Pelodiscus sinensis: one gene and its partners. The protein of the gene in region 3 interacts with the protein of the main gene of each other region in a biochemical or structural test. Links are inferred from orthologs where the notes say so. Each region holds a gene or a part of one and is shown on either strand. Other genes may lie near its edges. The genes, in order: NR0B2, SREBF2, HNF4A and NCOA6.

Region 1 (6,931 bases), on a different chromosome or scaffold from region 3:
ATTCAAGCGGCTGATTTTCCGGAATAACTTGCCAGTGTAGACACAGCCATCATTTATTGCAGGCCTGTTTTCAGAGGTGCTGAGCAACATCTAAAAGGCTGACTGAGTGCTGAGCCCATCTAAAAATCAGATTGTGAGTGTGTGTGTGTATGTAACAGAGTCTTTCTCTGGAAATTTTATCATGTAAAACTGGGAAACTCCATTCTGTACAAAGCCCTGGCTTCAATCTCCTCCTTTCTCAAAGAAGTGCTTCTCTGATCTGCATATTTCCTAGGGAAAATGTCAGCCCAGAGGTTTATTTTGCAAGGACTGTTTCAAGGACATTGGCCATGCTTTTTTTTCTACTTTACTGTGCAGTGAAATAGTAAAATCACACACACTTCAGAAATGATTTGGCTTTATGAGTTCAGTTTGTACAGGGGCTGAATAAATAAGAGCTATGTTCTAGAATGTGGCTTAGCTGCACTTTTCAACTGCTGAAGCTGTTGCCTGAGCCCAAGTGAAATACACACACAAAACCAGGTGTGTTTGAAAGTCCACAGTATCTTTCCCACCAAATCCCCACATCATATTAATGTTATTGTCCCTTGAAACTCAACTCAGTGCTCAGGAGGCGCATGTGAGGGTGGCCCTGAATGTGATCTCTCAAGAGGCTGTGTGTGACGAAAGAGTCAGTCGCCGGCTGGTTATTTCATACAGCATTTCTGTGATCACCTCAATAATGTCTGCATTGCCAATGATGGGTCGAAAGAAGAGGTCTGTGATAAGTGCAGGAGGAATGGATCTCAAGGTGGAGGCAATCAGCAAGATGCGGGCAAAGCGGCCCTGGTCTTCTGGGTGCAGGGGCACTAGGACTTCTCGGAGCGCTCGCTGTGCTTCCCGTTGGAGGCTCTCGATGTACAGAGAGGCTCTGAGACCTGGGACATCTATGGAAAGAGAAACAACAGGAAATACAAATGAAAATTAGCCTCTGCTTCCCAAGCTATGCCCCAGGCCCAGGCTCTTATCCTGCATGTGCCTCTGCTGAAGGCTTGTTCACCGCTATTGCTAGTGATTCACAATCAAATTTGATTTCTTTCTACTGCCTGCACACCGGCACAGGCAGATAAATAAACATGTTTCCTTACATTTCATAGTATATGAGGATCCCAAAGTACTAGCTATAGATATGCAGCATCTCTGAAACGTAGCCACGTCTGAGGTGGAGAGCAGCAGTTCATTATTAGTGTGTAACACATCAAGGGAGGAAAAATATTGACCAATACAGCTCGGGCAAAATGCAGCTCTAGAAAAACATGCTCTGAGATCCTCTTTTTGCTGAAGGGTATGCAAGACCGCAATTTTAAAATCTGATTAAAATAGTCCCTTCCATCACAATAAACTATATAGGACTTAGTTTATTTGCTTCAAAAAGAGGAAGAACTGAATCAACCCTGGTTAGGGTTTGAGAGACTGCGAAACTAATAAGCCACCCCTATCAGCACAGTTGACTCCAAGGTTTGTGAGTTAAAGCAAGTGACCAACTGGGGCAAGTCACTAACAGCCTGAATTCCAAAAGTCAATGGGAACTGGAGATGCTCAGCACAGCTGAAAATTAGCCCTGAAAATGCTCTGTGCCTCAGTTGGCCTGTCTTTAAAATAGGGATACTACATCCAGCTTAGTAATAGAGATGTAGCCGTGTTAGTCTGGTCTAGCTGAAACAAAAGACAGGACCATGCAGCACTTTAAAGACTAACAAGATGGTTTATTAGGTGATGAGCTTTCATGGGCCAGACCCACTTTCTCAGATCAAATTGTGGAAGAAAATTGGCATGACCATATATACCAAAGGGATACAATCAAAAAAAGCGAACACATATAGAAAGGACAAATCACATTTCAGAACAGAAGGGGGATGAGGGCGGGAGGTTAATGTCTGTGAGCTAATGATATTAGAGGGGATAATTGGGGAAGCTATCTTCGTAATGGGTAAGATAATTAGCATCTTTGTTGAGGCCCAGTCGTAAAGTGTCAAATTTAAGCAACGACTGTTGCTACGCTTCAAAGGCAGAGGCACCCTATCGACTAATTGAACAGTTGATGCAAAAATGCATTGACTGTTCAATTAGTCAATTACCCGATATTTAATATCCTTAGCTTGTAAGAGCTTTGAGCTCCCTGGATGGATGGACAGCTATTCATTGCTAGATACTCTTGTGTGACGTGCCATCTGTCCCTGCCAACAGAAAGGGGTGTGAGGGTTCGGCACTCACCAGGGTTAAAGAGAATGGCTCCTTTCAGATAGGCATACTCCTTAGGGCTCAGGTCCAGGCCCCAGAATGTGTTCAGGCAGCACTGTAGCCTCTTCACGCCAGCTAAGGTGGGCTGTGCCCTCTCAGGCTCCTGTCTCTTCCTTTGGCCATCGAGAAGGATCCTCTTGAGCATGCTCGGGGCTGGGGTTTCCATCACCTCAAAGGTCACCATCTCCTGAACCAGCCCCAGAATAAAGAGTGGAGCCCAGCAGCTGTCCAGAAGCAGCAGCTGGTCCCCCCGAGGCAGCAGCTGGAAGGAGGGAAGGTTCTTCATGAAGCTGACTGTTTTCACAAGGACATCTGAGGCTGCCTGGCAGGTGAGCTGAGGTGTCCGGAGGCTGACGGTGCGACGCTTCTGGCACAGGCAGCGCTGCTGGGATGGGCTGTGGCTGCCCCAGTTGTGGTTCAGGTTCTGGCTCAAGAGGGCGTAGAGGATGGCATTTTGGTTCTCCTCACTGTGGCACTGGCATTTCTCATAGTCCAGATCCATGCTGCATGTAGTCATTGCTGAGCCTGGCCAGTGGATCCCGTCAGGTCCCAAGGAGGATGAGACTCTTGTGCACCTGGCTGGGTGGATCTGTGAGCACGCCTGGTCCCTTGCAAAGGCTGCTGTATCAGTCAAAGCTCTCTGACTGCAGCCTGCTGCTCCCAGGTCGGTCACCTCTCTTATACCTTTGGCTGTTATTCCTGGCTCTATTTATAAGACTCTAAGTGAAACACCCCCTTAGCAGCCTTGACCTCTCTTTAACTAAGCACCGTTCATTGAAAAACAACTCAACTCAGTACTGATTGGCTGGGGAAGTGGAGCTTCCACTGGTGCAGATAAAGGTTTTCTCAATGAAAGTGCCAGTTAGGGCCAGGAGGATGGGATGGGATGGCAGATTGAGTGGCTTTCTTATCTGGATTACCCAACAGTATAAACAAAGTCATTAACCCAGCCCGTACCATGGCACCAAGGCCCCAGGTGTGTAATCATGCAATGCTATATGACAGGTGTCATTGCCAAAGAGTTCACACACACACACAGACCTTGTCTGGAGCAAGAGACCAGTAGCAAAACAGCCTGTAAACTCTGGCCTTGGAAAGAGCAACCTGGAAGTCATTTTATCAGCAGGTTGTTTGTTTAACCTTGTTGACAACAGGCTGCTGTTGTTGCAGATAAAGAAAAAAAAAACCTAATGAACTACAAAGGGCAGCAGATGGAGGCTGGGGCCTCAAGTATCTTGTGTGTTTTAGGGAGGGGGGAAACACGGACGTATGGGGCCTTTTTACTTTTTGCCTTGTTTCCTAGGAGATTTCATCAGTTTTATAGACAGGTTAGATGCATCATACTGTTCATACATGGATGTTTATGTCTTCATGCTTCAAGGAGTGTCGTGACTCAGAGGAACTTCTAGGGCAGGAAGAAGTCACTTAGTTGAAACCCCTACCCCTCCAGGATCATGGAGCCTGATTCTAAAGAACAGGCAGGAAGGAAGAGCCAGGCTGTCTGGAAGGCAAGTTAATGAGTGGGAGGAAAGCAGGTGGCAAGAGGGCTGTGTCTAGACTGGCCAGTTTTTCCGGAAAATCAGCCGCTTTTCTGGAAAAACTTGCCAGCCGTCTACACTGGCCGCTTGAATTTCTGCAACAGCACTGACTTCCTACTGTAAGAAATCAGTGCTTCTTGCGGAAATACTATGCGACTCCCGTTCAGGCAAAAGTCCTTTTGCGCAAAAGTATTGCGCAAAAGGGCCAGTATAGACAGCTCAGATTTGTTTTCCACAAAAAAGCCCCGATCATGAAAATGGCGATCGGGGCTTTTTTGCGGAAAAATGCGTCTAGATTGGCACGGACGCTTTTCTGCAAAAAGTGCTTTTGCGGAAAAGCATCCATGCCAATCTAGATGCTCTTTTCTGAAAATGCTTTTAACTGAAAACTTTTCCGTTAAAAACATTTCCGGAAAATCATGCCAGTCTAGACGTAGCCTACATGTTTAGAAAGAAGCAGAAAACATCAACGAACCCAGTGTAGCGCCAAGTGGAACTTTCAGTCACTAGAAGTTCCCAGTGGAGATCACCCAACTATGGAAAGTCTTAGGAAAATACTAGCTTCCAGATCCCTTCTCCCAGTAGTTAACAGTGTAATTTTAGTAATGTGAATAGGTTCATCTAAATAGGTTACTGGTCTCTCTGCATGATATTGACCAGGGAGGGTTACTAACAGCAGCAGCATGGAAAGGGTTAAGAATCATTGCCTTAAATGACTATGGTGAGCGCATTTGACCCTTGAGGTGGGTGCCTCCGCTGGGGCCCGTGTGCTGCCGCTGGTGTTTTCCACAGTGATTCTGGAGGACAGGATGTTCCCTCCTGCCCGCCGCAGGCAGGCTCTGCCCCAGCCATCTGGGTGCCCATAAGCGGCAGAGAGCCAGCTTCCCCGGTGTGGTTGGGATGCCCGGGGTTGCACGCGGGCGGCGCCGAGGGCGACTGAGAAGCCCTGGTGCCACGCCTGGCCACCCTGCCCAAGAGGCCTGGCAGGACGCCTGGTGCCCCTCCCCCCACAGCCTTCCCTTGGCAGAGGCCCCCCCCAAGAATATGGGCTCCCACGAGGGTCCCCCCCTTTTGATCACTGAGGCACGTGGTTCCTGCCCTTTGACCCCTCCGAGGCATCGCGCCCTTTGACCCCAATATAGGCCTCCCCCCCCCCAACCCGTCCTAGGGCTCCCACCCCACGTGGATATGCCCCATAACACCTGACCTTTGACTCCCTACCCACTCGGGGCCACGCGGCCTCGCCGATTTTTCTGGAAGGCCCCGGACGCGGCCGGTCACCATAGAAACCAACGCCACGCGCGGAACCCGGCGTGGAACTCCCGCCTCCTTTCCGATGACAGGACGCGGCTCCAGCCAATCAGCGAGCGGGGAGGGGGCCGTGGGGCGCGAGGATTGGCTGGCGGGCGGTGGCTGGGTTTCCGGTTCCGGTGTGAGGGTCTGAGGCCGCGGGAGCAGCGGTGGCGGCGGGCAAGGATGGGGCCGAGTGCGGAGGCGGCGGAGCAGGAGGAGCGTTTCGACGGGATGCTCCTGGCCATGGCCCAGCAGCACCAGGGCGGCGTGCGGGAGGTAACGCCCGGCCGCCCCCCCCGCTCTGTGGCGGGCCTGCGTGGGGGGGGGGCTGTTAACGCCCGCTCCCGGCCGCCCCCCCCCCGCTCTGTGCCGGGCCTGCGTGGGGGGGGGGCTGGTGGCGGCCGCTCCCGGCCGCCCCCCCCCCGCTCTGTGGCGGGCCTGCGTGGGGGGGGGCTGGTAACGCCCGCTCCCGGCCGTCCCCCCCCTTGCTCTGTGCCGGGCCTGCGTGGGCCTGGGGGGGCTCTGAGACACCGCCAGCGCCTGGGCGCGTGCTCTGGGGCGGGCTGCAGCAAACTGCCCCCCCCCCCCCGCTCCCTGACCAAGGGAAGCAGCTGGCAACGTCCCGCACGTGAGGATGTAAAACCCCATGTAATTGGCTAACGTTGTGTTTAAACGGTTAACCGGCAGTGGGGGTGGGGGCGCTCCAGCTCCTCTGCCGCCAACAGGGGCTGCTCTGGCCAGGCCTGGGTGCCCCTGTGGCATGTCCAGGGTGGGCTCTCTGTCGCTGGGCTGCTCCTGCTGGGTAGGAGCACTCCCCACCCGTGCTGGGCTCCTTGGGACGGAGCAGCCCCTGCCTGTAGTGGGCAAGGAACAGCTCCGGCCCCCACTAATGAATTGATTAACCATTCTCATTCCCTTGTCCCGTATGAGTTGGGGGACGTGGTTCACCCCTTCCTCCCATCCTCTCTAAAGGATGCCTGAGGGGTGGGAGGCTCAGTGTTGTGGCAATCCTGGACAGGGCAAATGCCCCCAGCCAGCCTCTTTCACTTTTCTGGTGATTTGTCTCTTTTCTGTATGTTTTTATGAGATGCTACCCCATTCCAGGCCCATCCCATTTTCCTGGCACAACCAAACTTTTACTGTGCTTTAAGTTATGATATGAGGAAGCCGTATACCAAATTTGGTAGTCCTAGCTCTTACCGTTTAGGAGGAGTTCTGAGACAGACACATACTCTCAATATATAGTTGATTGATATGGTGCTGTTAACCTACATGAACCCTTATAGACAGTCAAGATGAACAAATCCACACTGGTGTTACTTTTTATATTACATCCCCTTTTTGTTGAAATTGTAATATAAAAATGTAATATAAATGTAATATAAAAAATACTGAGTATCCGTATTAGAGAGACAAGTTGGGTGAGGTAATCTCTTCTTGGACAAACTTCTTTTAGTGAGAGAGAAGCAGCTTTGGAGCCATACTCTTTTACAAGTCCAGGAATGATTCTAAGAGTCCACTAAAAGCTATCAGCACACCTGCTTTGTCTCTGTAATGCTCTAATGACTATCCCAGCTACAACTGCATTACATATATTAGTACCTATATGCAGGGCTTGACAATTAACATAATCTACTCGCCACAGCACGGCCGCACAGCACGGTCAGCACATGGTCTGCATGTGCAGCGCACAGCTGGTGAGCGAGGCTCGCCGCCACTTGGCAAGCCCGTCCTATATGGCTGATTTATGTTTGTCACTCATGTCATTGAGTCCTATCCTTGATATGCTGTACCCATAAGAATGACCACCCTGAGTCAGG
Region 2 (6,877 bases), on a different chromosome or scaffold from region 3:
CCTATAGACAACCACCTAACCTCAAGATGATTCTTACCAACAACCACAGGACATACCACACTAATACCAACCCTGGTACCTTCCCTTGCAACAAACCCCATTGCCAGCTTTGTCCACATATTCACTCTGCTGATACCATTATTGGACCTAACCAAGTGAGTTATAAGATCAAGAACACATATTCCTGCTCATCCAGAAATATAATTTAGGCTATCGTGCCGAAAGTGTCCGTCTGCTATGTTCATTGGACAGACGTCTCAGACACTTCGCCAAAGGATCAATGCCCACAAAACAGATATTAGACAGGATCACAAAGAAAAAACAGTTTCTTGCCATTTCAACCAGAAAGGACATTGTCTCAACGACTTGATTATCTGCATCCTGCTTCAAAGATCTTTTCAGACCACACTTGAAAGAGAATCCTCTGAACTGTCATTCATGCTTAAATTCGACACTTTACGCCTAAGTTTAAACAAAGACATGAATTATCTTACCCATTACAAAGATAGCTTCCCCAATTATCACCTCTAATATCATTAGCTCACAGACATTTATTTCCCCCGCCCCCATCTCCCTTCTGTTCTGAAATTTGATTTGTCCTTTTCATATGTGTTCATTTTTTTTAATTGTATCCTTTGGTATATATGGTTGAGACAATTTTCTTCCACTATTTGATCTGAGGAAGTGGGTCTGGCCCACGAAAGCTCATCACCTAATAAACCATCTTGTTAGTCTTCAAAGTGCTACATCGTCCTGTTTTTTGTAATGAGGAAAAGAGGCTGGAGAGATGGCTGAACAATGATTTGAAGAAGGATGCCTGGCAGATAAGGATATGGAGTTAGTAGGAAAGAAGGAGACAGAGCTGGGGGCTGGGAGAATAAATGCAGAAAAAAGGAGCAGTAAAGTTGGGAGGTTTGGGAAGAGTTTAGATGGTGGGTGGATGCGTGGGGAGTTGCTAAGGGAAAGTGAGAGCAGAGGTGTAGGTGGAGAATTACATAAGGCCTTGCATATTAATATGGGCTTGAATTGGATGTGTTGAGGCAGGAAGCCACCACAAGAATATGAAGGTGGCAATACGGATCAGAGGGAGACACAGATGCTATTATGGTGGTATTTTTAATGTTACAACAATAAGGGCATGAACTGTCCATAGTTTTAACAGTGAGAACAGGAAGGGAAGAGTGGATTCTGGTGATAATTAAGAGGAAGAAATGACAGGACTTAACAAGAGCTTAAGTGATAGGTGTGTTCTAGGGAATATGAAGGAAAAGATCAGAGGCAGCAAACTGACTGTGGTTGGGCTCTATACAAAAGGGGTCATGTCATCTCAAAAAATATATTGGAATTCGTTCCAAAAAAGGCAACGATTAGGGGCATGGAAAGGCTTCCATATGAGACAAGAATAATGAGACTGGATCTTTTCAGCTAGAAAAAGAGATGACTAAGGGGGGGATAAGATAGAGGCTTATACAGTCATGATTGGTGTGGAGAAAGTAGATAAAGAAGTGTTATTTACTCATAACACAAGCACTAGAGGTCAGCAGGTTTAAAACAAACAAAAGGAAGTATTTCTTCATGCAACACATAGTCAACCTATGGAACTCCTTGCCAGAGGATGTTGTGAAGACCAGGACTTTAACAGGGTTCAAAAAAAGAACTAGATAAATTCATGGAGGATAGGTCCATTAATAGCTATTAGCCAGGATGGCGTCCCTAGTCTCTGTTTGCCAGATGCTGGTGTAACCCACACACCTCATGTGGTTCTCTGTTCCATGCTGTGGCACCTAGACCACAGCAACAGATAAGACCAAGAGACCTCTACAGCATGGACTGGGAGCCAGCTGGCTTTTAGCTCAAAGGATAGAGGCTCCTATACTAAGCTTCAGAGGTCCTAGGTTCAAATCTGCCTGGTGGTGGTTACACTGGGTATGGGTGACAGAGGATGGATCACTTGATGATTACCTGGTTCTGTTCGTTCCCCTCTGGGACATCTGGCATAGGCCACTATCAGAAGGTAGAATACTGGGCTAGATGGACCTTTGGTCTGACCCAGTGTGGCCATTCTTGTGAAGCATGAGAATGATGAATTAGCCTGAAGAGGAGCTGTCTCAGAAAGGAACAAGATATGCCTGGAGAGCTGGGATAAATGAGTGATTCATTCAGAATATGAAGTATTCGGCAGTGAAGTAAGGGAGCCTGAGCCTGGAAAGAGGTTTTTAACTGTACAGAGAATGTATATTTCAGGACCTACAGGAGGCTCCTGTGGAATGCACAGAGACCATGTGAAGCACAGGCAACTGCATGAAGCTTGTTTAACCTTAACCAATAAGGGTCTAATGTTCTTATTTTTCTCTAGTGTAACTCTCAATGGACTCTTACTTCTAAAATAAATCCATCCCCAAAAATCAGAGAGATTGGCTTTAAAATAATAAGAATTAAAAGAAAAACTGATTTCTGGTTTCTGAGCCTCTAGGGCCTAGGCACACTCAGGCAGGGATGCCAGCTTCCTCATTTTCCCAGGGGTGCTCAATTCCTGTTCAGCATCAGGCCCCACCCCTGAGCTTCCTCTTTCTGCACCCTCTCACTCTACCCCCTCCCTCCCAGCACCTCTAGTACATGGCTGTTTGGGAGGCACTGGGAGGGAAAAGATGGACCAAATTGGCAGGGCTGTTAGTGGGTGCTGACAACCCACTATTTTACCTTGTGGGTTCCCAGACCCTGGACCCACAGAGTTGGTTCTGTGGACTCAGGTCACATGTGCAAGATTTTGGGTACATCTAGACTACAGGCTTTTGTCGACAGAAGTTTTGTCGACAGATTCAGTCGACAAAACTTCTGTCGACAAAGAGCGTCTACACTACATTCAGTTCTGTCGACAAAGCAAGCTGCTTTGTCGACATGGTAGTGTAGACGCAAAGGACAGTTTACATGCAATAACACCTTCTGTCGACAGAAACTCTGTCGACAAAAAGCGTTATGCCTCGTAAAATGAGGTTTACCAGCGTCGACAAAACTGCTGAGTTCTGTCGACGTTATGTCGACAGAACTCAGCGGTAGTGTAGACGCAGGTATAGTTTTGTCGACAAAAGTCCACTTTTGTCGACAAAACTCTGTAGTCTAGACACACCCTTTGTCTGCAATCTTTTGCATATGAAAGCTGAGAGTCTCAGGTAATCACATGCCTCCAGGATCTGGAGCAGTAAGTAAAACACCAAATCTGGTAAGACCCATAAAATGCAGAGAATTGGCAACAGCTAGACAGCTGGCTTGACCGGAATGACTCTTCATGTGGCCTAGATTTCACTGCATTGTCTTGAGCAGCTTAGCCTGGTGCAAGCACCCCAAGCTGGTGCTGCACTGATAACTCCCTGCATGAGGGCAGGCTCCTGGGCCAAAACTACCCTCTTGTCACTCCACTGGGGGCCTGACTTGGGACTTGTGAATGCTTCAGGTTGGCAATAGAGCTGTGCCCCTTGCCATCCCTATCCCTCATCCCCCCCATCTTCCCCGTCCCCCCTCATCACCATGTGCATTGACTACCCCGCCCTGTCCCTTGCCAGCCCCGCTCCCGCTGCCCTCACCCCCCTCTGTCACCGCGCCTGATACCCACCCCCAGCCGCCTCGCCCTAGCCCACGAGTCCTCCCGGCTCTTTACATCCCGCCTCGGGACATTGAATAACCAGCATTCTGTCCCCGCCCCCCTCATGAATATTCCACCAGGGAGAGCTCGGCCTCGTATGCTAATCCTAGCTGCTGATCGGTGACGTGCTATCACACCACGAGCCGCCTCGCCCGCTGATTGGCCGGCGGGGACCTGGTCTCATTGACAACAAGGCGAGGAAGCGCGCGGCCCGGGCTCCTGGCACGCAGGTGGGGGCGGGGCTGTCCCAAGATGGCGGCGGCGGGCGCTGGGAGCCGGAGCTGAGGCGGTGCCCGGCGGGGGCGGGCGGAGGCGCCGGGCGGGGGCGGCCCGTGCGCGGACACGCGATGGAGAGCCGCGAGCCGGCCATGGAGGCCATGGAGACGCTGACCGAGCTGGGGGACGAGCTCACGCTGGGGGACATTGACGGTGAGCGCGCGGCTCTGGGGGGGCAGCGGGTGCCCGGAGCGCGCGGCTCTGGGGGGGGGGGCAGCGGGTGCACGGAGCGCGCGGCTCTGGGGGGGGGGCAGCGGGTGCCCGGGGCGCGCGGCTCTGGGGGGGGGGGCAGCGGGTGCCCGGAGCGCGCGGCTCTGGGGGGGGGGGGGCAGCGGGTGCCCGGAGCGCGCGGCTCTGGGGGGGCAGCGGGTGCACGGAGCGCGCGGCTCTGGGGGGGGGGGGCAGCGGGTGCCCGGGGCGCGCGGCTCTGGGGGCGCCCGGCGTAACTCGCTCGCGGGGCGCGGCAGCCGCAGCGGGGCAGGGGTGAAGAGGCGAACGAGCCGCATCCACGGGCCGGGGTGTGAGCTCGGGCCGGGGCGCCCCCACGCCTCTGTGCGCCGCAGCCGGGCGGCTCAGGCTGTAATTGCCACGGCCCGTGCGCGTTTCTTGGCCGGCTGCTGTTCTCTCCTGTTCCCGCATGCTGTGTGCAGCGGGTGCTGATGTGTGCCCCGGCCGTGCCCACCTCGCTTAGGGGAACTGCTGTGTACGCCCAGAGGTGCTGCTGATGCGCTGGGCTGTGCTGCTGCTGGTGCCCTCAGCATGTGTGATTTCAAACTTTTGCTCCCCTCTCCTCCCCCCTTTTTAAGGAACGTAGTCAGTGTATGGCCAGCTTGTGGCCCCACCTGCAGAGAGCCTTGTGCCTGACCCCATAAGCCTGTGTCTTTCCCCGCAAAGTATCTGGCAGAGGAATGAAATGTGTGGTGTTCCCTAATGCCCATATAGTCATTCTGTGTCCATGCACTCTGGAGTGTGGAGCATAGATGTGATGTACATGGGACAAGCCTGTGATCACCTGCAAAGTATCTAGCCAGATAGAATGATGGGATGTGTGTGTGGGGAAAAAACTGCACCTTTAGTTTTGTCAGTTCCTTCAATGATATGTGTGGTGCGGCCACCCTCAGAGCCCAAGATATATATGCCTAGATAACATTTATGTACCCACCTGCTGTAATGAAACTCTTCCCTCCTACCCCAAGCAGACATGCAACAACGTGTGTTCTATTCTTTGGTCTTCCCTTGATGTGCCTGCAGCATCTTGTGTGTGTGTTCCTGTGAAACAGTATTGACATGGTATGGCTAGCACTGTAGCTGCACCATAGAAATCTGCTTTATCTTAGCATCATGGGTTTGTCTGAGTTCGGGGATTTCCTTAGGAGTTAAATATGTGCCTGCTCACTTTCTTCCTCTATCCCTGTAGACCATGTTGTTGTATTAGGAGTGTGTAGAATATCCCAAGAAGCATCTATATCTGTCAGTTTTAGACACTTAGGGCAGGTCTACACTGTGGGGCAAAATCAACCTAATTTGCACTACTCCAGCTATGTTAATAGCATATCTGGACATGCCCTACGGGGTCTCCACTCTGGAGGGTCAACAGGAGAAACTTCCATAAACTTCCCTTGTGTTTTTGTTTCCACTGGAATATTGGTGTTGGGGTGTGTGTGTGTGTGTGTGTGTGAGAGAGAGAGCTTGCGAGAGCGTGAGCAAGCGAGCAATAGGCAGTTGATTTAGTGGGTCTTCATTAAGCCTGCTAAATCAATCTCTGGGGGACCAATCCCCACAGCGCCAATACCTGTAGCACTGATTCCCCAGTAAGCGTAGACAAGTCCTTATTTAAGAATTTGCAATGTGGAACTCTCCATCTAAAAATGCTACTACTATGATGCATGGGAGTAGTTGTGTCACTTGATGAACAATCCTGTTTAACTTGTACTCCGTTTTTTTTAAGTGTTTTTAGAGGGAATGACTCACTGTGGGTGGCTCTTAAATGCTGTGCTGCTTAGTGTAGGTTCCATAAAAACCTATATGGAACATAAATTTGGACTTCCCTGGTCCAGCACCCTTGAGAACTGACTGGTCCCAAATGAGGGAATTTTCTGGAACAAGGGAGGTGACTGCCGGCCCTTCTGCAGCTGGTCTCTGGGCTCTCAGGGGGCTGCCAGCTTCCCACCTCATGTCTGCTCCTTGCCAGTGACTCCCAGGTTCCCCTTCCAGCCACCAATCCTGCTGTTGTCCCTGGTTGGGATACAAAATCCCATTTAATCAGCATTGCACTGGGCTGCTCCAATTGGGCTGGGGACCGCCTCAGGCAGGGGGCTGCTCAAGCCCAGCCAGTCCACTGGTAATGCTTATGGGTTAACTTGACATTCTTAGTTGGGCACCCAGCTTCCTGCCACCAGTCTTGCTGACCCAGCTCTGCTTCTAGCCCTGGCCCTGATCCTGACCCCTCTGCCACTAGACTCCCAGCCAGCCCCCTCCCGCCTGCCAGGGTTCTCTGGTCCAGCAATATTCAGGGTTTGTTACAGGGCCAGACAGGTTCAACTATATTAGAATAGTGCCCTTTTATTCTGGGGCAGATGTTCTGTCCCATGTCTAGTTGTTTTTTCTAGTTCTTGCTTTCGGCTTCTTGCCAGTACTATCCAGCAGTAATAGGGAATAAAAATATCTTCCTTGACTCAAAGAAATTAGAGATGGAAGAGCCCAATAAAGTCACATTTTGTTTCCCTCAGCCCCACCTTTGATGAAATCAGGATTTGGCTGTTTCCAGCAGCATATTCCCCAGGGCTTTTTCCAAGTTAGTTTCAAATGACCCATGTGATTTAGCTTCCATTACTAGGAGAGGTTATTCTATCGATCATGTACCTTACTCTTAAGGAAAGTTTCCCTTTGCTCAGTTTCATCCTTTTGTGCCTTGTTACATCTCTTTGGATCACTCAACATTTCCATTTCTTCCTTGCTGTT
Region 3 (7,374 bases):
AAAAAAGCTCCAGTGAATTCAGTACAAACTAAAATTTCATACTGACAATGACTTGTTTATACTGCTCTATGTAAATACAATATTCATATTCCAATCTATTTTATTATTATATGGTAAATTTGGGAAAGGAACCAATTTTTCAGTACTAGTGTACTTTTGTATTTTTATGTCTCATTTTGTAAGCAAGTAGTTTTTAAGTGAGTGAACCAGAGCGGGTGGAGGTTTACATAAGACAAATCAGTCTCCTGAAAGGGGTACAGTAGTCGGGAAGGTTGAGAGTCACCATCACTAAAATATTCTCCATTATAGCTCAAAGATCCCAAAGTATGATACATCAAGAAGATGGAAGCTGTTCAGATAAATTGACTGGGTCACTAGAAGACTGTTTCTAGGGCACATTTCCTACTGTGTCTGAACAAACAAACTTCTTGAAAGAGAAAAGTCATAGGAAATGAAGTTGGTACTTTCCTCTTTTCCCCACAGGCCCTGTTGCATGGTGCTCAGCTTGCTACAGCTTTAAAAATCAGGGCTGCCCCTGTAGAATTTTCAGAGGGATAGCCAAGTTAGAATTCTACCCCTGTAGAGTTTGTCAGCCATCTCTGTTAAAATGTATTTAAGCAAACTCAGGAAGGTCTACTCTGGCGCCACAAAGCTTCAACAGGCTTTCTGTGCCTTAGAGGTTGTGATGACTTCCCACGGATGAGAGGGGGTTCAATACATGGGATAGATGGGACAAGTTGCTGGAGCTGGCAACCGTGTTAGGAAGGCAGGAGCCAACTCACGCTTCCTGCATTAGGAAGGCAGGATAAGGTACTTCCTGAAGGAAGGGTGGTGGGGTGGGTTCCGGAGTGGCTTAGGGGATAGGGAATTCACCTGGGGAGGGCGGGGCTTGGGGGCTGGACTCCTGCCTCTCTCCCCACAACTTGGGAGCAGCTGAACAGCCAGTACAGGCTGCTACCGGGGCTGGAGCTGACATGGAAGGGGCTTTAAGCTTAGCAGTAAAGTTTGGGCCCAGCTGTAAAACTCAATATTGGCAGCTCTGCAAAGTCAATTGGTTCCACCCAACTCAAGGAGATGGAGTGTGAAGGAAGCTCCCATTCTGCTAATCCCACTGCCCTACGTCCCTTGAACTCTCCAAGCCAAACTCCTCAGCCTGTCACAGTACTGGCTTGGGACCAAGACTCAAAACAAGGGCTGAAGGGGTGACAGTGGAGGAAGGACGTTTCAGGGTTGTGGAGTTAGTTTTCATACAAACCCTATTATGTTCTCTCTCTCTCTCCCACTCATTTCCCCCCAAGTAGCCCCTGGGCAGAGGCTGGGAATTTAATAAGCCTTTCCCACCTCTAGCTGTCAGGTTTGCTGACATAGCATTCTTAGCCAAGGTACGAGGCACAGCATTGGAGAAGGGAGCTCTTCCTACAGGCACTTGATGCAATGAACAACCCTGGTGCAATTAATGGGAGTTACAGTCCATGCCCCACTCCAGGCAGCGTACACCCGCCGCTCAGGTCTGCTCTCTCTGGGGAGGCTGACACCATGGAGTGCTGGGCAGAGGACAATAAATTTACACGGGCAGCCCAACTCTGTCTAGATGCTTTGTAGCAGGAGAAGTTTGTCCTGCAGCCACAACGAGACGCGATCAGTGGCAGGATTTGTCCCCTAAAAGCTGTTTGTGTCTTCAGAGCAGGCTCATGCAAAGGGAGCTGACCTAGGAGCAGGGACATCATTATGGTAGCTCTGAGAGTTAGTTAGTCGCTTTCTGCAGCATACTGAGCTTAGCAATTAACCCAGTATCTAGGCAGGAATGGGGGGGAGGGAGAAGGAGGTTGGAGAGGAATTGTCATTGATTAAGTCTTGAGCATCTAATAAAAATGAACCCGCATAAGTTCCAAATCGGAACCAGTGGGACCGTGTTGCAAAACCCAGTAGAGCTTCTGTGATCCTTCCCAGGGTGTGTGAGCAGGAACGTGTCCCAGCTGTGAGTTACACGGATACTATTTCCAACTGAGGGACCCAGCCTTCCCCTCTGAGCCTCTTATGCATTTCATTGCCATCCCACAGGGTTCAAGGTATCTATGGTCCCTCTGTTGTAGAGAGAAACGCCAGGCCACCTGCGTCCATGAAACATGCACCCAGTGCAGCGCTTTATAATGAAGAGAGATCTGCCACTCCCCATCCCTCTTGGCCCAATCTACAGCTCCTCTCCATGTGGAGATATCACTTTAAGCCCAGTTACAAGCTGCATGATGTGACACACTGAAATCTTCTGGGGTTTTCATTCATTTCACTCCTCAGGCGGCTGCTCTCTGTCCTGGTTCACTCTTCCAACAGTATCTCTGTCAAGCCCTGGGAAGTTCCTTACTCTGAAGCCCTGCCTAGCAAGGAGGTAAAGCACCTTCATTCTGTATTTTCCCTTCCTTTGAGGCAGGAGTTTGTGGGAAACACTGGCTGTCCGCTGAGGCCCCCAGGCCTTCCGGGGCCAGATGCTGAGCAGGAACATTCTGGTCTATTCAGGTTCTTATACAACACCCACCACCTTGGTCCTGAGCTGTTGTCACTGAGTCAGTTCAAGTGCAACATTAGTCAAACAGAGACACTTCTCTACAGAAACGGGAGAATTCCCCTTCTGACTTGGTGCTTTCTCCCCCTCTGCCCTCCACACCAGCTACATGCCTGTTGCCAGGCACTGGCTAGCCTTGCCACCGATCCCACCTTCTCCCGGCAAGAGCAAACCCAGAGGCAGACTTACCGTTGCCCATGGCCAACACCTGCATGTTCTCAAATTCCAGAGTGGTGTAAGCTGGGTCCAAAGCTGCGCTATAATCTGCCATCTCCATGTCTATCAGGGCTTTGGAAAGACGCATTATCATCAGCAAACACGGGCCAGATTGCAGCGATTCCCTTGTCGGAGGTTATTGGCCTCGCAGCCTCCTGCTGCCTTCACTGCGTCCCCTATCTGTTGTCTTTTATTTCAAATATTTCTCTGAAAGGATTTGCTGAGCTTCAAGGCCTATACTCCCCAGAGGGGTGGAGGCAGGAGGTAGGGGGGTTAATCTTTAATCATCTCACCCACTGGTGAATGCTAAGCTGGATTTTTTTTTTTTTTTTGGTGGGGCAGCAGCGATTTTGTTGACTGTTTATTATTGAATCTACATACACTTTGCTGATTTCAGCTTCTGGGCACATACTGGGGTGGCAGCGCTTAGAGAGAAGAGCATTCTCCATGAGTGTAGTACATTCGCTGGGCTATTGATCTTGACGCTTAATTGTTTTATTATTGGTCTTAATTTTAGTTGAATTGTAAGAACTTGTAAAAACTCTGCCTGGAGAACAAAGTTCTAGCCGTATTCCTCCCCTTCACTATCCTCGGGCTTTTTCTCCTTCTCTTACCCCACACTGCTTGCTTTCTTTTCTTTTCTTTTCTTTTCTTTTCTTTTCTTTTCTTTTCTTTTCTTTTCTTTTCTTTTCTTTTCTTTTCTTTTCTTTTCTTTTCTTTTCTTTTCTTTTCTTTTCTTTTCTTTTCTTTTCTTTTCTTTTCTTTAACCGGAATTGCAATTTACACATGGTAACAACAGGGGACTTTCATTTTACTTCTCTATAAACCAAGTTTTACAGGGCCAGACCTCACTATAAACACTTCTCACTCCACAGCCTTTCCCAACAGCTTCAGGGGCAGATTTTCAGAAGAGCCAGGCACACAAAGGTACCTGTCAAAGGTGAGCACAAGTGTGACTGTAGTTGCATTGTGAGTGCACAGTGGATTAGGCATAAAATTGCATTGACTTTTTATTATTTTTGGTGCCCAAACTTTTTGAAAAATCTCCCCCTAGAAAAAGAGCTCATTTTCCTGTATTCAGTTTTCAAGGATCAATCTGAAAAATCCTCCCTGTGTGTTTGTGTTTTAAAAATCTCACCAGACATCTTACAATGCAACATAACTTTGTCCTGCAAGTGTCTTTCTTATCTACTATAGCACGCAACACATGCTATAGAGTTAAATCTTGATCCAAAGCCCACTGAAATTAGTGGGAGATCTTCTATCAGCTTCCATGGGCTTTTGATCAGACCTTCAGATAATACAGGACAGTAAGAATGCATGTTACAAATGTCAGAAAATGGAGTTGCACTTTATCTGACTTAGTCTTGGCCTCATCTGGTGTTTGAGGGCTTTATGAGACGACAGTTTATCCAGTATGTGGCAGTGGGTTGTATAATTCACTGTAATTTCCATTGCATAACATCACAAGCCCAACAAGTGGTAATCAATTTATCACTGAACAGCATCAGCTGAATTGCATCGCAAGGCCAGTAATTAATTATTAGTGTCAGTTCTCATTGTAATAAAAAACATCCCAGTTTATTTCTCAATCAATGCAGGGCGATTTAGTCTACAAACTGCGAGTTAATGGCCCTGCACTAGTTTTAATCACACTTCACAGGCATGCAGGAAAGACTAGGTCATGCTGAATCCAAAAGCCTTTGCTGATATGAATGGCTTCCCTATCACAACTCAACACTGAAATTCTGGGGCCTCCAACTCAGAAATGGTGCAGGCTGGTGGGTTTTGTTGCTGGACATATGAATGGAACATCATGGTTATGACCTGAGCATGGAAAGAGCTCAGTAAGCAAAGTCTGTGTCCTAAGATACTTAACAGTCTATACAGAAGGCATAGACATCACCTATACTCCAAGGCTACTGTTGTATGATCCATTCGCTATCTTGCTTCAGCTTAGTTACTGGAGGTATGGGAATCATAGAATACTAGAACTGGAAGGACCTCAAGAAATCATCCAGTCCAGGCCCCTGCCCTCATGGCAGAACCAAGTACCATCTAGGTCATTCCTGATAGATGTTTGTCCAACCTGCTTGTAAATATCTCCAGAGATGGAGATTCCACAACCTCCCTAGGCAATTTATTCCAGTGTTTAATTGCCCTGACAGTTAGGAAGTTTTTCCTAATGTCCAACCCAAACCTCCCTTGCTGCAGTTTAAGCCCATCGCTTTTTGTCCTGTCATGAGAGGTCAAGAAGAACAGTTTTTCTCCCTCCTCCTTGTAACACCCTTTTGGATACCTGAAAACCGCTATTATGTCCCTTCTCAGTCGTCTCTTTTCCAAACTAAACGAACCCAGCTCTTTCAGTCTTCCCTCATCGGTCTTGTTTTCTAGACCTTTAATCAGTTTTGTGGGAATGTGGGAAAGTCCCACATTCCTTTCCTGGGATTGATGTCTAGAGTTCCTTTCCTGTAGTGGGAGCTGGGTGATGGTTAAAGATGCAAAGGAATCCCCTCTGAACTCACATGGCTGGTATATCACTTCCCCTTCAACAAGGAGAATTCTGAGCCAGGAATTCGTTTGTTTGAAACAATGTGTGTGAGTGGGGGTGGTAGAACACAGCCCCTTAACAGCCTCATTCCTGGGACCTCAGTTCCAATCCAGGTTTGGCCAGAGTGATCCCTTTGATTAGATAAATGCTGCAGACACTAAGTCAAATATGTGCAGGATTTGCCATAGTGTCTAGTAAAATATCATAAAAGCATGGCCCATTTTGCTCAGTTCAGCAAAACAAGTCTTTGTTCAACTAAGCTGCTGACTAAATAAGACTGAAATACTTGCTTACTCCCATAAGGTCTGGCGGACGTAGGTCAGGGAGGATTAAGAATGCTAGGAATAGAAAACGAAGAGATGGATGTGAAAGAGGAGAGAGAGAGTGTGTGTGTGCGGGGCGGGGGGCAGGGGAGGAGATGTTATGGGGAATTAGGCAGCAAAAGAGGCTGGGAACTGCCAACAGGACAGAGGAGCCTTTCACCTTTAGGTTGGCGGTGATAGCAATCCACCACTCCTGTTGTTTTCCATTCCGTTCCTAGTGTAGAAGGCCTAAGTCCTCAAAGGCACCTAACTCCCATTCACAAACCCCTTGTCGCAGCAGGGCAGCCAGACACTGACTGGGACAAGGAAATGACACACTGCCTGCACCCTCAAAGATGGTCACAGCAAAGCAGGGTTGGGGTACTCTACTGGGAATGATCGATTTTGCTCCCATCAATAATACACCATCCTTGACATTAGTCAAGCTGCCCATGCACCAGGCTAATACGAGAGGATTCTTCTCTCCCTCAGATACCGACAGCTTCTCTAGTGGGAGTTTAGAAGAGGCTCCATTGACAAACCGTGGTAAATTGGCCCCTGTATGACAGCATCTTTGAATGACATATCCTGGGCTAAGCACACGGACTAGCAGCAGTGAATGGGTGGAGAGAGACTCCATAAAACACTATTTAATGAGCAAATCTTCTTTGCCTTTTTAGGCGGATTTGAATTTTTCTGCCCCACTTAGCAGAGGTGTCCCTTTTAGTACCAGTCAGACGCAGGGACAAATTCTGGTCTCAGTGGTAAAAATCCAGAGGAAATCCACTGACTTCAGAGGAGTAAACCATACCGGGGCTGACCCTCGGCCTTTTGAAGTCACTGGAAATATTCACATTAACTTCAATTGGTCAGGGATCAGGCCCATTAACACCAGTGCAGCTGAGAGGAGAATTTGGCCCAGTTTTAGCAAGTAGCAGCAGCTGGATGAAAGAAGGCAGAAGTTATGGAGAGTGGAAGGGTGGAGTCTGGGTCGACCAATGGGTGTCTCCATGTTCTGTCCTGGTGGTGAGAGTCCCAGTGAATGGTAGCCCCACATACACTGATCAGGACCCCAGATGGAATCCAGTTGGATACAGAAACTTCCTCCCTCCAATATATCTCCCCACCCACCTTCCTAGCAGTTCAGACTACGTGAGACAGCTAGAATTGGAAATGGCTAGAATTCCAGGAACTGGCGTGTTTTATGCAGAGGGCAATCATCTGATTTTTATCAGACAAGCAGTAAATCCTGCTGTGTTTTGCCTCATACAAGGCTGACAGGAGACTAATCCTGCCTGCCCGGTATACAGATGCTCACGCCTGGCAATTCCACTGAGAGAAAAGAGGATTCTCCGCAGACGAGATATGCAGCTCATTCAATGAGGAGTAGGATAGAGGGCAATTAAGAAAGAGGCATGGGAAGGATATCATCACCTATAGGTCCCTACCAAATTCACTGTCCATTTTGGTCAATTTCATGGTCACAGGAATTTAAAAATCATGCATTTCATGATGTAAGAAATGTCATGATGTTATAATTGTAAGGGGCCTGTCCCAAAAGCAGTTGTGTGTGTGTGTGTGTGTGTGTGTGTGTACAAGCTTATTGTAGGGGGGAGTTGCTGTACTGCTCCCCTTACTTCTGCACTGCTGCTAGCGGTAATGATGTCTTTAGAGCGGGGCAGCTGGAGAGGGGCAGCTGTGTTCTGTTCTTGGCACATTCAGGCTGTGTCTATACTGCACCCCTT
Region 4 (7,733 bases), about 7.8 Mb from region 3:
CTCGGTATCTTACTCAGATTTTTATTTACCTCACAAGGCTTACATGGACAGTATCCAGGACAGCACAGAGGTTATTTATTGAAATGTAACTGCAGTTCCACACTTTTAAGGCCACTGAGAGTTTAATCTAATTTTAGAAATGCCTGATTTTCAAGATATTTTGGGGTTTTTTTTAAAGGGAATAAATAACTATACTCATCAGATTTAACGCTATGATTATCATGTAAGCAGCAAGGTTATTGCAGGTAGTTCCTCCCCTGTGAGTTCTGCCACCGAGCAAGTTTTTCAGACAAAGCATAACTGACCATAGGAGCAGCAACTGCAAGTCTCTCCACTGGGTAAGTCTGAAATCTGCTAAGGGACACTTTTTAATTCCCAGGGGGACAGTGAAGCAGTGAGCAGAAGCCTGAGTGAGGTGCAGAAATCATGAAATATGACCTTAATAGCAAAAGGTAGGATCAAAGTATTATCATGAAAAAATATCATTGTAAAACCAGGTCATTCTACGTTAATATTAAAAGGAAGCAGTATGGTTCAATTGATTAGGTAGTAACCTAAGTAGTCATGAGATTCATGTTTTATTCTCAGCTCTGCTATGAATTTGCTGTGTGTAACTGTAGACAACTAGCCCAAAAAGATTAAAAGCAACCACTGATTTTGGATGCCTAATTTGAAACATCTACTATTTTCCTGAGATATTAACACACACAACTCCACATGAAATCCATGGGACCACAAAGTGCTCACCACCACAGGTGAACAAAAACAATGAAGAAATAGACCATATGTGGTTAAATTTGACCAACCAAAATTTGTTGTTTGCATAAATAGAGGACACTTTTGATCATTTCACTCTTTGTGGCCCATTTATCTGAAGAAGTGGGTCGTGCCCATGAAAGCTCATGATACTACCTATATATTTTTTGCGAGTCTCTAAGGTGCTGAAGGACTAGGGATGTTAAATATTGGTTAATTGAATAGTCAAGTAACCTTATGAATTTTTATCGGTTAGTCAACTATTCTATAGTACCCAGAGGTGGTTCCAGCAGCCACTGTATCAGAGGCAGCAGTGCGGGCAGGAACTGGTCCATGAGGGGAGCCAGTTTAAAAATCAGCTCCCCTTGTAGACCGGCTGCTTGTCGCCCAGTGCTGCTGCCTCTGATAAAGAGGCAACAGTGCAGGGTGAAGCAGCCCCTGTTTAAGGGAGGGTCTGAGCTCCTGGACCTGGTGTGAGCCAGAACTGAGCCAGCCTGCTGGCCAGCCTGCTAAAAAAATTACTGGCAAGGGTGGGGGAAGGGAAACGTGTGAAGTCTGTAGCATTAACCTATAAGCGTTTAACTGGTTAATCGACTACACTATTAAATCCCTATGCAGGACCTTTCGTTATTTTCCCCATCAGTGAAGGATGAAGAATGATGCTTGGGTCCTGAATCCCTTTGAAATATCACCTCTGTAAAGATACAATGAAAAATACTCATGAGGGTTTAATAGCATTATGATAACAGATGGAGTTATTTCTATAACTGAAGCTCAGATAAGACTGTCCCTTTAAACTTTAAGTTGCAGCTTAACTAAGGTGGGAAGTGGGTTGTGTGTGTGCAATACACAATTTTAAAATCCAGACAAGGCTCACAGGACTAAAATTAACCCTGTCATCTTGGCTTAACTTCTACAGCATTCTTGTAATTTACATTTTGCAGTTTACTCTCAAAACCAGAAAAGGTAGCACAACTGGCCAGGCAAGACACCCCTATGAAATCAAAGCCACTGTTCCCTGTAATCAAGTCTCTTAACACAGTTGGTGTTTTAAAAAATAATGCAGACTTCACAATAAGAGGACACAAAGTTGCTCAATTTATTTTAAAAGGGCTGGAAGAGAACACAAATAAACCTCTGACATACTGCCTGCATTTGTTCAAAATCAGAAATAGGAAGGATAGTTGATCAAATAAAATAGTTACAGGATCTTCCAGTTTCCCATACATGACAGAGCCTATGACAGAACCAAAAGGAGGACATTGGATCCGAGTTGAACAATCCACACCATCTTAGCAGTGCTACATTCTTTGAAATGGAAGTATGACTATGAACCCTCTAGCCAATGCAACATTCAATACCCTCCTATTAAACTGGGATGGATCCCGTTTAAGGGGTCCACAACTACAAAGTGCAGACATGAGGAAGCCAGTGTGCACAAGATTCACCAAGGCAGCACGCAAGAGCTCCAGAGCTATGTTCAGCCCATACAGGGAATGCTGGGAAGTGACAAAGGTCTTCATCTCTCGGGGGGCTGGGTCAGACCTAGGCGAGCTGCTCATGGGACTAACTGAGCCAAGGAAATCAGAGGTTTCTCTTTGAATAACATTATTCGGCCCGCCTGGCTGCAGGAGGCATCGTGAGAGCAAAGGTGCGGGCCCTGCTGGGCGGGGTGCCGGGGGGGCTGCCATCCAGGCAGGGACTTTCGACCCCCCCCCGGGAGGTGGCACGGGAGCCCCGGGGACATTCAGCCGGAGAAAGGGGCCCGCGGCCCTTTGCCAGCCCCCCCCCCCAGGCACCTGGCCCCCGCCCCCGGAGGACCCCACCCCGCGCAGGGAGAGCCCAGCCCCGCGAGCCGCCGCCGCCAGGCCCGGGCGGGCACCCGCCCCCACGCGCCAGGCCAGGCCTCGCCCCCCCCGCGGGAGCCTGGGCGCCCCCGCGCTCCCCCCGCCGGCCGCGCTCCCCCCCCGCCCCCAGCCGGCCCGGCCCGCTCCGTGCCCGGCCCCTGCCCTCCCCGGGCCGGCCCCGCTGACCCGCCCCCCCCCCGCCGGGCCCGAGCCCCCCGCCCGGCCCCGCCCTCACCTGGGCAGCCGCCGCCTCGGCGCCGGGCTGAGAGCCGGCCTGGGCCCGTCGCACCGGGGGGGTCGGCCCGCTCCCTGCCAAGCGCCCAGGACACCGCAGCAGCCCGGCCGCGGCTCCGCCTCCTGCAGACACGTGACCGAGCGGGGGCGCGACCGAGCCCGGGCAGCGCGCGCGCCCCCGCCGCCGCCACAGGCCGCCGGGCCTGCCTCTGGGCGCGCGGGGAGAGGCGCCCCCCCCCGTGCGCGGGGGGACAGACTGACCCCCCCGCGCCTCCCCGGACACACACTGACCCCCCCGCCCCCCCCGGACACAGACTGACCCCCCCCGCTACCCCCCGCCCCTCGGACACAGCCTGACCCCCCCCCCGCTCCCCGGACACAGACTGACCCCCCCCGCGCCCCTCTCGCGCCCCGGACACAGACTGACCCCCCCGCTATCCCCCCGCGCCCCGGACACAGACTGACCCCCCCCCGCTACCCCCCGCCCCTCGGACACAGCCTGACCCCCCCGCCACCCCCCCGCGCCCCGGACACAGACTGACCCCCCCGCGCCCCTCTCGCGCCCCCCGGACACAGACTGACCCCCCCCCGCTGCCCCCCGGACACAGCCTGACCCCCCCGCTACCCCCCCGCGCCCCGGACACAGACTGACCCCCCCCCCCGCTACCCCCCGCCCCTCGGACACAGCCTGACCCCCCCCCCGCTCCCCGGACACAGACTGACACCCCCCCCGCGCCCCTCTCGCGCCCCCCGGACACAGACTGACCCCCCCCGCTACCCCCCGCCCCTCGGACACCCCCCCGCTACCCCCCCGGACACAGACTGACCCCCCCCCCGCGCCCCCCGGACACAGACTGACCCCCCCCGCACCCCCCCGGCCCCCCGGACACAGACTGACCCCCCCCCGCTACCCCCCGCCCCTCGGACACAGCCTGACCCCCCCGCCACCCCCCCCCGGACACAGCCTGACCCCCCCCCCGCTACCCCCCGCCCCTCGGACACAGCCTGACCCCCCCCGCTCCCCGGACACAGACTGACCCCCCCCGCTCCCCCCCACCCCACGGACACAGCCTGACCCCCCCGCCACCCCCCCGGACACAGCCTGACCCCCCCCCCGCTCCCCGGACACAGACTGACCCCCCCCGCTCCCCCCGGCCCCCGGACACAGCCTGACCCCCCCGCGCCCCCCGGACACAGCCTAACCCTCCCGCGGCCCCCGGACACAGCCTGACCCCCCCCACGCCCCCCCGGCCCCCGGACACAGCCTGACCGCCCCCCGGACACAGCCTGACCCCCCCGCGCCCCCCCGGCCCCCGGACACAGCCTGACCCCCCACGCTCCCCCCGGACACAGACTGACCCCCCCCGCTACCCCCTGCCCCTCGGACACAGCCTGACCCCCCCGCTACCCCCCCGGACACAGCCTGACCCCCCCCGCGCCCCTCCCACGCCCCCCCGGACACAGACTGACCCCCCCCGCGCCCCCCGGACACAGACTGACCCCCCCCCGCTACCCCCCGCCCCTCGGACACAGCCTGACCCCCCCCGTGCCCCTCCCGCGCCCCCCCGGACACAGACTGACCCCCCCCGCACCCCCCGGCCCCCCGGACACAGACTGACCCCCCCCCGCGCCCCCCGGACACAGACTGACCCCCCCGCTCCCCCCCAGACACAGACTGACCCCCTCGCTCCCCCCCGGACACAGACTGACCCCCCCCGCACCCCCCGCACCCCCCCGGACACAGACTGGCCCTTCCGCGCCCCCCCCCCCGCCCCTCGGACACAGCCTGACCCCCACCACTCCCCTCCGGCCCTCGGACACAGACTGACCCCCCCCCGCTCCTCCCCCGCCCCCTCGGACACAGCCTGACCCCCCGCTTACCCCTCCATAAGAACGGCCGTACTGGGTCAGACCAAAGGTCCATCTAGCCCAGTATCCTGTCTACCGACAGTGGCCAGCACCAGGTGCCCCAGAGAGGGTGGACCGAAGACAATGATCAAGTGATTTGTCTCCTGCCATCCCTCTCCAGCCTCTTACAAACAGAGGCCAAGGACACCATTTTATCCCCTGGTTAATAGCCTTTTATGGACCTAACCTCCATGAAATTATCTAGCTTCTCTTTAAACTCTATAGTCCTAGCCTTCACAGCCTCCTCTGGCAAGGAGTTCTATAGGTTGACTACACGCTGTGTGAAGAAGAACTTTCTTTTATTAGTTTTAAACCTGCTACCCATTAATTTCATTTGGTGTCCTCTAGTTCTTCTATTATGGGAACTAATAAATAACTTTTCTTTATTCACCCTCTCCACACCACTCATGATTTTATAGACCTCTATCATATCCCCTCTCGGTCTCCTCTTTTCTAAACTGAAAAGTCCCAGTCGCTTTAACCTCTCCTCATATGGGACCTGTTCCAAACCCCTAATCATTTTAGTTGCCCTTTTCTGAACCCTTTCCAAGGCCAAAATATCTTTTTTGAGGTGAGGAGACCACATCTGTACACAGTATTCAAGATGTGGGCGTACCATAGTTTTATACAGGGGCAGTAAGATATTCTGGGTCTTATTTTCTATGCCTTTCCTAATAATTCCTATTTGCCTTTTTGACCGCCGCTGCACTCTGTGTGGAAGTTTTCAGAGAACTGTCCACGATAACTCCAAGATCTCTTTCCTGATTTGTCGTAGCCAAATTAGCCCCCATCATACTGTACGTATAGTTGGGGTTATTTTTCCCGATGTGCATTACTTTACACTTATCCACATTAAATTTCATTTGCCATTTTGTTGCCCAGTCACTCAGTTTGGTGAGATCTTCTTGGAGTCCCTCACAGTCTGCTTCTGTCTTGACTATCCTAAACAGTTTGGTATCATCTGCAAACTTTACTACCTCACTGCTTACCCCTTTCTCCAGATCATTTATGAATAAGTTGAAAAGGATTGGTCCCAGGACTGACCCTTGGGGTACACCACTAGTTACCCCTTTCCAATCTGAAAATTTACCATTTATTCCTATCCTTTGTTTCCTGTCTTTTAGCCAGTTCTCAATCCAAGAAAGGACCTTCCCTCTTATCCCATGGCCATGTAATTTACATAAGAGCCTTTGGTGAGTGAGCTTGTCAAAGGCTTTCTGAAAATCCAAGTATACTATATCTACTGGATCCCCCTTGTCCGCATGTTTGTTAACCCCTTCAAAGAACTCTAACAGATTAGTAAGACAGGATTTCCCTTTACAGAAACCATGTTGACTTTTGTCCAACAAATTATGTTCTTCTACATGATTCACAATTTTATTCTTTACTATTGTTTCGACTAATTTGCCCGGTACTGAAGTTAGACTTACTGGTCTGTAATTGCCAGGATCGCCTCTAGAGCCCTTTTTAAATATTGGTGTCACGTTGGCTACCTTCCAGTCATTAGGTACGGAAGCCGATTTAAAGGATAGGTTACAAACCACAGATAATAGCTCAGCAATTTCCCATTTAAGTTCTTTTAGAACCCTTGGATGAATGCCATCTGGTCCCGGAGATTTGTTAACATTAAGTTTTTCTATTTGTTCCAAAACCTCCTCTAATGACACTTCAATCTGGGACAGTTCCTCAGATTCATCACCCACAAAGGACGGTGCAGATTCAGGAATCTCCCCAACGTCCTCAGCCGTGAAGACTGAAGCAAAGAAATCATTTAGTTTCTCCGCAATGGCTTTATCGTCCTTGATTGCTCCTTTTATAGCTCGATCATCTAGGGGACCCACAGGTTTTTTAGCAGGCTTCCTGCTTCTAATGTACTTTAAAAACATTTTGTTATTTCTTTTTGAGTGGCCCCCCCTGCTACTCTGTGTCCGGCCCCTCGGACACAGCCTGACCCCCCCCCCCGCCCCTCGGACACAGACTGACCCCCCCCTCGCTACCCCCCTCGGACACAGCCTGACCCCCCCGCAACCTCCCCAGCCCCTTGGACACAGACTGACCCCTCCCGCTACCCCCCCGCCCCTCGGACACAGCCTGACACCCCCGCTACTTCCCCCTCAGACACAGCCTAACCCCCTCCCGCTACCCCCCCGCCCCTCGGACACAGCCTGACCCCCCCCCGCTACCCACTCACCATAGCCTGACTGCCCCCCCCCCGCTACTCCCCGCCCCTCGGACACAGCCCTTGGACACAGCCTGACACCTCTCTTCCCCCCCCCGCCCCGCTACCTCCTCACCACAGCCTGACCCCTCCATGCCCTTGGCACAGCTTGACCCTCCACTGGAAGCCCCCATGCCCTTCGGACATAGCTTGATCCCCACCCTCTGGGAGCCCCCCAGCTTCAACCCCCTCTGGGAGCCTCACGTTCACAGGGCAGAACCTCACCCCATCCCACTGCGAGATTTGGGGCATCCCCACAGGAAAACACCTCACCTCCCCAGTGAATGTAGAAGATACTCTCTCATCTACCCACTGGCACCCCTAGAGGAGAAATTCATCACTCCATCCCTGATTGAAAGAGTCTGGGATGCCCCCTCCTCAGCATCAGACATTCTTTGGGTTGGGGGACCTCCCTTCTAGCTACTTGGGTGGGCCCCTCAATTCCCCACAGTGGGGAGGAACAGGAAGGAAGATTATTATTCTTTTCAATGGAGATTGCATCACTCCAGAGCCAGCTCCATTCACCCACAAAAACGCCCTCCCTACACACACCACCAACTCCCAATCCTCTGCTCCCAAGGGAAGCACTTTCCCTTTCACTGAAGCCTGAAATTGAGAGATTCCCAACCATCTTTGCTGAGAGGTCTGCACCACCAATCCCTTCACTCCCAGTCTGCCAGACTTAGCAATAAAACCCACATTAAAAGCACTACTCACCCACACCAATGAGTGATAGAAATGTAGCCGAGAGTTATAAGATCAAAAACACA

The links.
Region 1: the proteins of HNF4A (region 3) and NR0B2 form a complex in vitro, tested with the Homo sapiens proteins (4 studies listed by BioGRID). The link is inferred for Pelodiscus sinensis from reciprocal best matches to the Homo sapiens genes HNF4A and NR0B2.
Region 2: the proteins of HNF4A (region 3) and SREBF2 form a complex in vitro, tested with the Homo sapiens proteins (2 studies listed by BioGRID and IntAct). The link is inferred for Pelodiscus sinensis from reciprocal best matches to the Homo sapiens genes HNF4A and SREBF2.
Region 4: the proteins of HNF4A (region 3) and NCOA6 form a complex in vitro, tested with the Homo sapiens proteins (2 studies listed by BioGRID). The link is inferred for Pelodiscus sinensis from reciprocal best matches to the Homo sapiens genes HNF4A and NCOA6.

What each region holds. Positions count from the first base shown.
Region 1 is NC_134735.1:2,378,538-2,385,468, forward strand, and holds the start of NR0B2 (nuclear receptor subfamily 0 group B member 2), read right to left. Parts: upstream 3,007-6,931; 5' UTR 2,798-3,006; coding exon 2,254-2,797; intron 927-2,253; coding exon 646-926; 3' UTR 1-645. Other genes in the region: nuclear migration protein nudC, read left to right, coding at 5,295-5,387. UniProt on the Homo sapiens protein: Transcriptional regulator that acts as a negative regulator of receptor-dependent signaling pathways. Specifically inhibits transactivation of the nuclear receptor with which it interacts.
Region 2 is NC_134711.1:88,818,865-88,825,741, reverse strand, and holds the start of SREBF2 (sterol regulatory element-binding protein 2), read left to right. Parts: upstream 1-3,860; 5' UTR 3,861-3,987; coding exon 3,988-4,069; intron 4,070-6,877.
Region 3 is NC_134728.1:23,050,220-23,057,593, reverse strand, and holds the start of HNF4A (hepatocyte nuclear factor 4-alpha), read right to left. Parts: upstream 3,018-7,374; 5' UTR 2,871-3,017; coding exon 2,750-2,870; intron 1-2,749. UniProt on the Homo sapiens protein: Transcriptional regulator which controls the expression of hepatic genes during the transition of endodermal cells to hepatic progenitor cells, facilitating the recruitment of RNA pol II to the promoters of target genes. Activates the transcription of CYP2C38.
Region 4 is NC_134728.1:30,852,630-30,860,362, reverse strand, and holds the start of NCOA6 (nuclear receptor coactivator 6), read right to left. Parts: upstream 3,007-7,733; 5' UTR 2,839-3,006; intron 2,408-2,838; exon of another isoform or gene 2,289-2,407; intron 1-2,288. UniProt on the Homo sapiens protein: Nuclear receptor coactivator that directly binds nuclear receptors and stimulates the transcriptional activities in a hormone-dependent fashion. Coactivates expression in an agonist- and AF2-dependent manner.